Mus musculus: one gene and its partner. The protein of the gene in region 1 interacts with the protein of each later gene in a biochemical or structural test. Links are inferred from orthologs where the notes say so. Each region holds a gene or a part of one and is shown on either strand. Other genes may lie near its edges.

What was found.
Region 2: the proteins of Stam (region 1) and Arrb1 form a complex in vitro, tested with the Homo sapiens proteins (2 studies listed by BioGRID). The link is inferred for Mus musculus from reciprocal best matches to the Homo sapiens genes STAM and ARRB1.

What each region holds. Positions count from the first base shown.
Region 1 is NC_000068.7:14,072,423-14,076,338, forward strand, and holds the start of Stam (signal transducing adapter molecule 1), read left to right. Parts: upstream 1-1,677; 5' UTR 1,678-1,874; coding exon 1,875-1,914; intron 1,915-3,916. UniProt on the Homo sapiens protein: Involved in intracellular signal transduction mediated by cytokines and growth factors. Upon IL-2 and GM-CSL stimulation, it plays a role in signaling leading to DNA synthesis and MYC induction. May also play a role in T-cell development.
Region 2 is NC_000073.6:99,590,925-99,594,740, forward strand, and holds part of Arrb1 (beta-arrestin-1), read left to right. Parts: intron 1-338; coding exon 339-474; intron 475-1,579; coding exon 1,580-1,664; intron 1,665-2,065; coding exon 2,066-2,138; intron 2,139-3,696; coding exon 3,697-3,816. UniProt on the Homo sapiens protein: Functions in regulating agonist-mediated G-protein coupled receptor (GPCR) signaling by mediating both receptor desensitization and resensitization processes.

The DNA of each region.
Region 1 (3,916 bases):
TTCAGGTTGTTTAAAATTGTAGAATTTTTTCACATATATTTGAAGGCTTTTTTTTTTTTCTTTTTCAGTGCCAAGGTCAGAACCCAGAGCCTCTCACATTCTAAACAAGTACCCCATCACTGAGGCTCATCCTCAGTCAGTCTTTAAAGCCTTTTAAACTCTTATCCACTCAGATGTCTATGTAAATACACATCTATGCTCTTACTTTCAATGGCCAAATAAGTACAATTATAACTATTGATTCCACTTGAGTGCTTACTATATGCTAGACACTATTACAGGGGATTTGCTTCTAGTAATTTATTTCATCTTCAATGGTTTGTCATTTCCGTTTCTTATTTATGAGGAAACAGACAGAGGAGTTTGTCCAATCTCTTTAATGTCGGACAGTTTAGCGGTCATCAAAACTTTGATATTGTAAACAACGCTGCCATTAATATCTTGGTTCATGTTTTAAAAGACTGTAAGATTTAAAATTCAGAATAACTGGAACCAGAGGCACATTTCCAAAAGCTGGCTATATACTTCCCATCCTTTCTCTTAAGAATGCTGTAATTTATACCCCATCAGGCAACTTTGTTTCCCATCCCTTGGATTCTTTTAGTTTTAAATGACTGAAAACGTTAACCGATGCTTTAGTTTGCTCCTCTTCCTCCAAAATTCGACTTTAACTGTTTAGTAAGCAAGCTGTTTGTACTGTTATACAAATCTTGTTGACATGTTTATAAGCTTCCCTTTTTGTAAGGGTCCCTATTTGGGCACTTTTTACCGAATCTCAGTGCATGTGCAAGACCGACTTGCTAACTTTACGTAATATTTCCAAGAGATGATTCTTTAGATTTCACATGATTTAGAGGACAATGTGTGTGTGTGTGTTGGGAGCTGGGGAGGGGGCGTGCGTTACATACATATGTACAAATTAGATCACCAAATCAACATTTTAAGTTGCCAAGAGTCCTCATCAATGTCTGGCTCCATTTTTCATGTGTGTGTGTGTGTTTTTTTTTTTTTTTCAATTTCTGCCGTTGGGTGTGCGTGCTTATCTCAGGCTGAGAAGGTCTAATCTTCTCAGGGACTCAGTGACTGCACGTTTAGTCAGTCGGAGCCCACACCCAGGAAGGCTCCCTCTGATCTCAGGCTGGGGAATGAGCCAGCGTTACCTCAGCCTCTCGAGAGGCTGTGCGCCTCGACACTCCCTCCAAGGGATTCAGGCCAGCTCCACCAGCTCACATGACTCCAATCCCAGCAACTTCCATGAACCCTCGACGAGCGCGCTCAACATTTTCCTCGGGTAACCCAAAGGACTGCCTGACTTTCTAGAGGGATTGCAACATCACAACAACCCATCGAATAAACCCAAGGAGTTAAAAATTAAGGGTTTGGCTGGACCCAAACTGAACCCTCTCCCTCTCCCAGTCTCTTATTCACTCTAGAGGCTCTTAGTCGGCCTCGGTGCGCCTGAAGGACCTCGTCCTCCCGAGACGCCCGGGGACATGGAAAAGCCGAGAACCTAGCCGCTAACCCCACGGGCACGCGGGAACTCAGCAGAGGAAGAGACAGCGGCGGCTCATCGCGTGGGCCTCGGCGGAGGCGGCGGGCTCTGGCCAGACCCGGAGCGGGCAGTGTTCAGGCAGCGCTCAAGTCGCCTACATTCCCGACACGCCCCGCGCGGGGGCCTGTTCCGCTTCTCGGCTGTTGCCGCCGCCGCCGCCTCTGTTGCTGGGGTGGGTGAGAGGAGGGGCTGAGAGGGACCCTGCACTGGCAGGCAGGCGCCCTTGCTGTGTTTGTACCTGAGGGGCCTCCTTTCTCCGTCACCCCTAGAGTGCCGCGGGGTCGAGGGGCAGTCCCCGGGGACACCTCGGCACGCAGCGGACATGCCTCTCTTTGCCACCAACCCCTTCGACCAGGATGTTGGTAAGTGTTTTCACCGCCCCCCGTGGGTGCCCCCCGAGACTGCGAGCCCGCGCCGACTCCCGTCCCACTGCGTTCGTTCATTCTGGATTCCCGAGGCCGAGCCCACGTTCTTCTCTCCCGGGGCCCCTTCGTTCAGAGTTGGGAGAGGGTTGAGCGCTTGGCGCATCCTCTTTGGAAGAAATGGGACTTAGAACCTCTCTAATGGGCCTTGGTAAGGGACTTGGGGAGGGGGAGCTTTGAAGGAATCGCTTAAGGGATTCGGGGTAAAGGGTTGCCTCGGGAGGAACAGACGACGAAGCCATCTGCCGCTGGGGCATGGCTTCTGGGAGAAGAGCGAAGGACAGACGTATCTTGGCTTAAGCAGATTGATTATATGCTCTATCGCCAAAGTATTTGCCTGGCCCAATGGAACTGGCAGAATGTTTTAGGTAAGGTTACTTAAAGGGTTTTTTAAATAGCCCTATAACGGTCCCTGGAGGAGAGAGGTCTGGTTACGTACTGGTAGGTTGAAATGTTGGAAGAGATGGAGATGGATTACTTGGCAACAACTGAAAACGCAGACATGAGCCTTTGGGATGCCTTTTTCAGGCTGGGCCTCTGCCTTTGGGGAAGTGTGGAAGAGGATTTTGATTCTAGGATGGGGTCTGAAATGCTAAATTTTTTGTTGTCTGAATCATTGGTATTAGGTACCAAGCATACCAATTTAACAGGTTAGCTATCTATTTTTCAGACCTGATTTGAATTTCTTGAAAGAATTTTGGGATGTTTTTGAATGCATTACATTGAACTACACTGGCAGCATAGTGTGGAATGAAAGCGAACCAATACCATCCAGTCCCACAGGCTGAATTTAAGCATAACTGTAGTAAAAGAATGTAAGGATAACTTGTGAGAGTTACTTTATGAATTTTGTTTATTAGAGGTGAATTTTACATTTTGCCAACTGGAGAAAATGTACTATTACTGCCGCTTCCTGCCTGGTTCATAGTGATTCAGTTGAATGTCCTGAATCTGAGCTGTGGATGGAACTTTAGAAATCATCAATAGTGCTAAATAAGTAATGAATTGGGAAATTGTGTTTAATAAGTGCTTAGCACCAGTACTTACTGAACACAGTGTTCATTGACAAGAAATGCAACCATGAAGACCATCTCATTGCGGCTCTTTGGCTGTTTTACAATTTGTTACATCAGTCTTTAGGACAAATGCTTATAATAAAACAATATTTGCTGCCTCTGTTCCTGGCACCTATAGTGATCCTATATGATCTTGCTTTCTGCTAATCAGTCACACTTATATTCTCCTGGCTTGTTCCTTTTTGTGGTATTGGAAATGGAACCCAGGGCCTAATATGTATTCTTTCTGTTTTTTTTTTTTGAACTCACATTTGCAGTGGATTCAGATGGATTTCTTGATGTTAAACCTGTTCTTGCTACCTACACCGCCCAGTCCAAACACAGGCCCCTTCTTGCCTTTATACTTTTGTTTCTGTTATTTCATGTGTCTTTCCACACATATGTCCTCATGCTTTAAGGTCAACTTAGAGTCTGACTTGTTGTACCTGAATTATTTGCTGATTCCTGCAACCTGGAGTTTATAAGTAGCAGTGTTACTGACAGTTTGGAATAGATAAAATCCTTAAGGAGGTTATGCTCTATACATGAAGGCTGTTAACTTTGTATTTGCTCTTCACTCAGTGGATGCCAGTAACATCTCACAGCCAGTCATGACTTTAAAAGACATGACTTAATGTCTCGGGGGCTGTTTAAATACAGTGATTTTTCACCTTCCCCATGTTCTACAAATTTCAGCATTTTTGTCTTAAACATTACATATCAATGTGTTCTTTATTTTGCTCCTTGTTTGATGGCTGCTGCATAGTTGGCTTTGAATAAGTGCTTGTTGAGTTGAAACTATGTTAAGCCTGTTAGACATGTTTTTTTAGAAATCACTCTGAATTATAAAGATACTTTGTGCCATCAGGTCCCTACTGATTTGTATT
Region 2 (3,816 bases), on another chromosome or scaffold:
GTGGTAGTGAACCAGCTGGGCAAGAAGTTCCCATCCTCCAGCGGCTTACACTATTAGGAGACACGGGGAACACAAAGTAAAAAATAGGCCCTTTCTTACCATCATGCTGGGGACTGGGACACGCAGACCCAAATGAAGTGCTGTTGTCGGGTGGCTCAGGGACAGAATTGAGGAGGCTGGGGCTGAGTCACATGGTGACAAACCCTCCTGCTCAACCTCTGTGATCAGTGGGCAATGGGGAGCTACAGTAGACTCTTGAACAGGAGAGGGGTCTAGGTATTACAGAGAAGAGAGTGGAGGCTGGTGACTCTGTCTTTCTCCCCATGCATCTTCCTTAGGAACTCTGTGCGGCTAGTCATCCGGAAGGTTCAGTATGCCCCTGAGAGACCTGGCCCTCAGCCCACGGCTGAGACTACCAGACAGTTCCTTATGTCAGACAAGCCCCTACACCTTGAGGCATCACTGGATAAGGAGGTAAGAGGCCCAGACACCACTGTCCTCAGCTCTACTATCCCTCAGGTCCCAGTGTCTCTGGACTGTCCTTGAGGGTTTGGGGAATCCTGTTGGGGTCCAAAGGACTGGCAGAGGTGGGCATGTGCACCTATGGAACAGGAGCAATGGAAGGGTCCTGGCCATTCCTCCTTACACTCTTATAATTGCCTGTTTCAAACTGGAGGGAGAACCCCAGCTAATCAGCAGGGTGGTGATGGGGAACAGGACTCAGGGTCTCCTTGCTATTACCCTTATCAGTGAGCTAGAAGGTGAAAAGTTCTTGAAGTCAGGTGACTCTGAGCCAGCTGACTGGGGTATGGGTATGTCCCTCCTTCTTGGGGTAGCTAAAGACAAGAGCCTGGACAAGGTGGTCCCTGAGAATTCCGAGCAGGTCCTCCAGTAGCTGGTTAGCCTTTCCTCTCTTTCTCTGAGTCTTCTAGAGTTTAATGTGTCTGTGAACCCAGACCATCAGAGCCCACAGGAACTTGAGACCTTACTCTGTTCAAGCCTGCACATAGGATAAAGGAGAAACAGCATCTCACTTAACCTGTCCAAGGTTATGCAATGGTTGTCACCATCATTGCTATTATTGCTGTCTTAGCTGGTGGTCAGAATGAGACTGGAGCCGAAGATGTCAGCTTCATTTTCCTATGTGTGTATGTGTGAGTGTGCATGGGTGGGTGGGTGTGTGTGTACATCTGGAGGACAGCCTTGGAGGTATTATTCTCAGGAGTGCCATCCCCCTCCTTTGAGGCAGTCTCTCATTGGCCTGGAGCTTACTAACTCGGCTAGACTCTGTGGGCACCGAGCCTCAGGGATCCTCTTGTCTCTGCCTCCCTAGTGCTGGGATTACAAGATCAAACTCAGGTCCTCGTGTTTGCAACACAAGTACTTGACTGGCAGAGCAGTCCCCCGAGTTCAGGAATGTCATCTTCTAATACAGATATCTTTGAAAGGTCCCACAGTGGTACTGAAGGTCCATATGCTTGGTAGTTTTGTGACACTTTTATCTCAGTGGGAAGTGGCTGGTGAGCTGGGGGCAGAGTTCAGTGTCCCTGTCCATGCTCTCCTGTCATCTGCCTCACAGATCTATTACCACGGAGAACCCATCAGCGTTAATGTCCACGTCACCAACAACACCAACAAGACTGTGAAGAAGATCAAGATCTCGGGTAGCTGGGGATCCTACCGAGGGTTGGGATAGCTGCAGGTGTGGCCTTTGTTAAAAGCCTGAGATGATACCATTAGTAGCTTTGGAAGCTTGGGTCTGCTGTCAGCCTACAGTGGCTTCAAAGCTGTAGGCACTTGGGGCAGTGGGTTTACCGCTTTGCATGCCCCTTCATAGGCTTTCTGGGCCCTGGACAAGCTGTTCTGGGAGGAAAGATTTGGTCATGGAAGGGACTGGGTTTTGATGGGGTTTTCTGTGTGGGTGGAGTCTGGGGTGGTGGCCTCTGATAAATGCTGGTCGTTGTCTCAATCTAAGCAAGCACACCTACTACAGGGAACTTGAGGGCTATCTTGAGAGGTACCCCCTGACTCATGTACCCACCTCCCCTGCTCCCTCTTTCCCCAGTGCGCCAGTATGCAGACATCTGTCTCTTCAACACAGCTCAGTACAAGTGCCCAGTGGCCATGGAGGAGGCTGAGTAAGTGTGTCTGAAGCCGACTTTGGACAGGTGGGACTAGACAGGACAAAGGGGAGCTCTGAGTCCAGGCCCAGGCATCTCTTCTCAACCTGCAGAGAGATGTCCTGGGGTAGGACTCATGTGGCATGTGCCTTTATGTGCTGAGTAGCCTCACTGGCTTCTGTTTCGGTCTTTGAGTCCAGGTCTCACTTTGAGACCAGGCTGGCCTGAAACTCAGAGCCTGAGCTTACTTGGAATCAGGGCAATCCTTCTACTTTAGCCTTCCAAGCGCTGACGTTATAGGTGTGAGCAACTGCACCTGCCACTTTGACATGGTTTCTAATATTCTAGAGATGGAGCTGTTATTACTAAACCAAATATTCTTGCATTATTGGATATTCTCAAATTCACTGTTGATTAAGAATAAAACCTACAGCCATGAGACATAGACTTCTGGTGAGTGTTGGGGGGTACGTTGAATGACCCAGAGCCAGGAGAGCATTTAACCCCAAGTGGAACATAGTCATAGCCATAGTCTGTCACATATTTGCATCTGCAGTCTGGAGAAAGGGTAGCTGCCTGGGCTTCCAGTAAGCATTCCTGTGGGGTTGGGCTTGGGGTTGAGATGTGGCCGGCTCTGCTCCCTTCAAGAGGCAAATTTAGGTCTTATTCCAGGACTGTCCCAGTGTCAGGTGCACGCATCTGCCTCATCTTTGAGAAGGGAGATGGGGGATAAAATAGCACCAGCCAAAGGGAACAACAGAGGTTCCTGTGCATGACTGATAGATACACATTGCAGCAAGTAAAGTTTCAATGGTAGAACCTAGGTGGGGGCTTCCAGGCATTTACTCATGGTTTGTATGCCCACTTTTGAACATAAACGTGGGCTGGAGAGATGGCTGAGCAGTTAGGAGCACGTGCTGTTCTTCCTCCAAAGGACCAGGGTTCATTTTCCAGTACCCACACCAGGCTGCTCACAGCAGCTTGTAAGTCTAGTTCTAGGGGATATGATGCGCTCTTCTGGCCAATGAGGGCACTTGCATGTGAGTGGTGCACAGACAGTCATGGAGGCACACACACACACACACACACACACACACAAATTAAAAACTTAATCATTAAATAAAAACTAAAAATAAATGTGTGGGCTAGAGAGATGGCTCAGTGGTTAAGAACACCGACTGCTCTTCCAGAGGTCCTGATTTCAGTTCCCAGCAACCACATGGTGACTCATGACCATGGAATGGGATCCAATGCCCTTTTCTTGTATGTCTGAAGATAGGGACAGTGTACTCATATACATAAAATAAATAATCTTTTTTAAAAGTGTGCTATTTAAGTGTGCATGGTGACCATGCCTAGTTTAGGATTAGTCCTGCTTGTGTGTGGTGGGCCTCTCCTCTTTCCCATGGCAGTGGGCTTGCTGCTTGAGCTGGGCTCAGCCCAAGTGGTTGCCTGCATCTGGGAGATAAGGGTTGCTGGCAGAGGGCGTTGTGGAACAGGGCCAGTCCAGGCGTCTTGGCTGGGTTAGGGCTGGCTGTGATAAGAGTCATCTTCATGCTGCCTCTCTACTTCCCAGTGACAATGTGGCACCCAGCTCAACATTCTGCAAGGTCTATACGCTGACTCCCTTCCTGGCCAACAACCGAGAGAAGCGGGGACTCGCCCTCGACGGGAAGCTCAAGCATGAGGACACGAA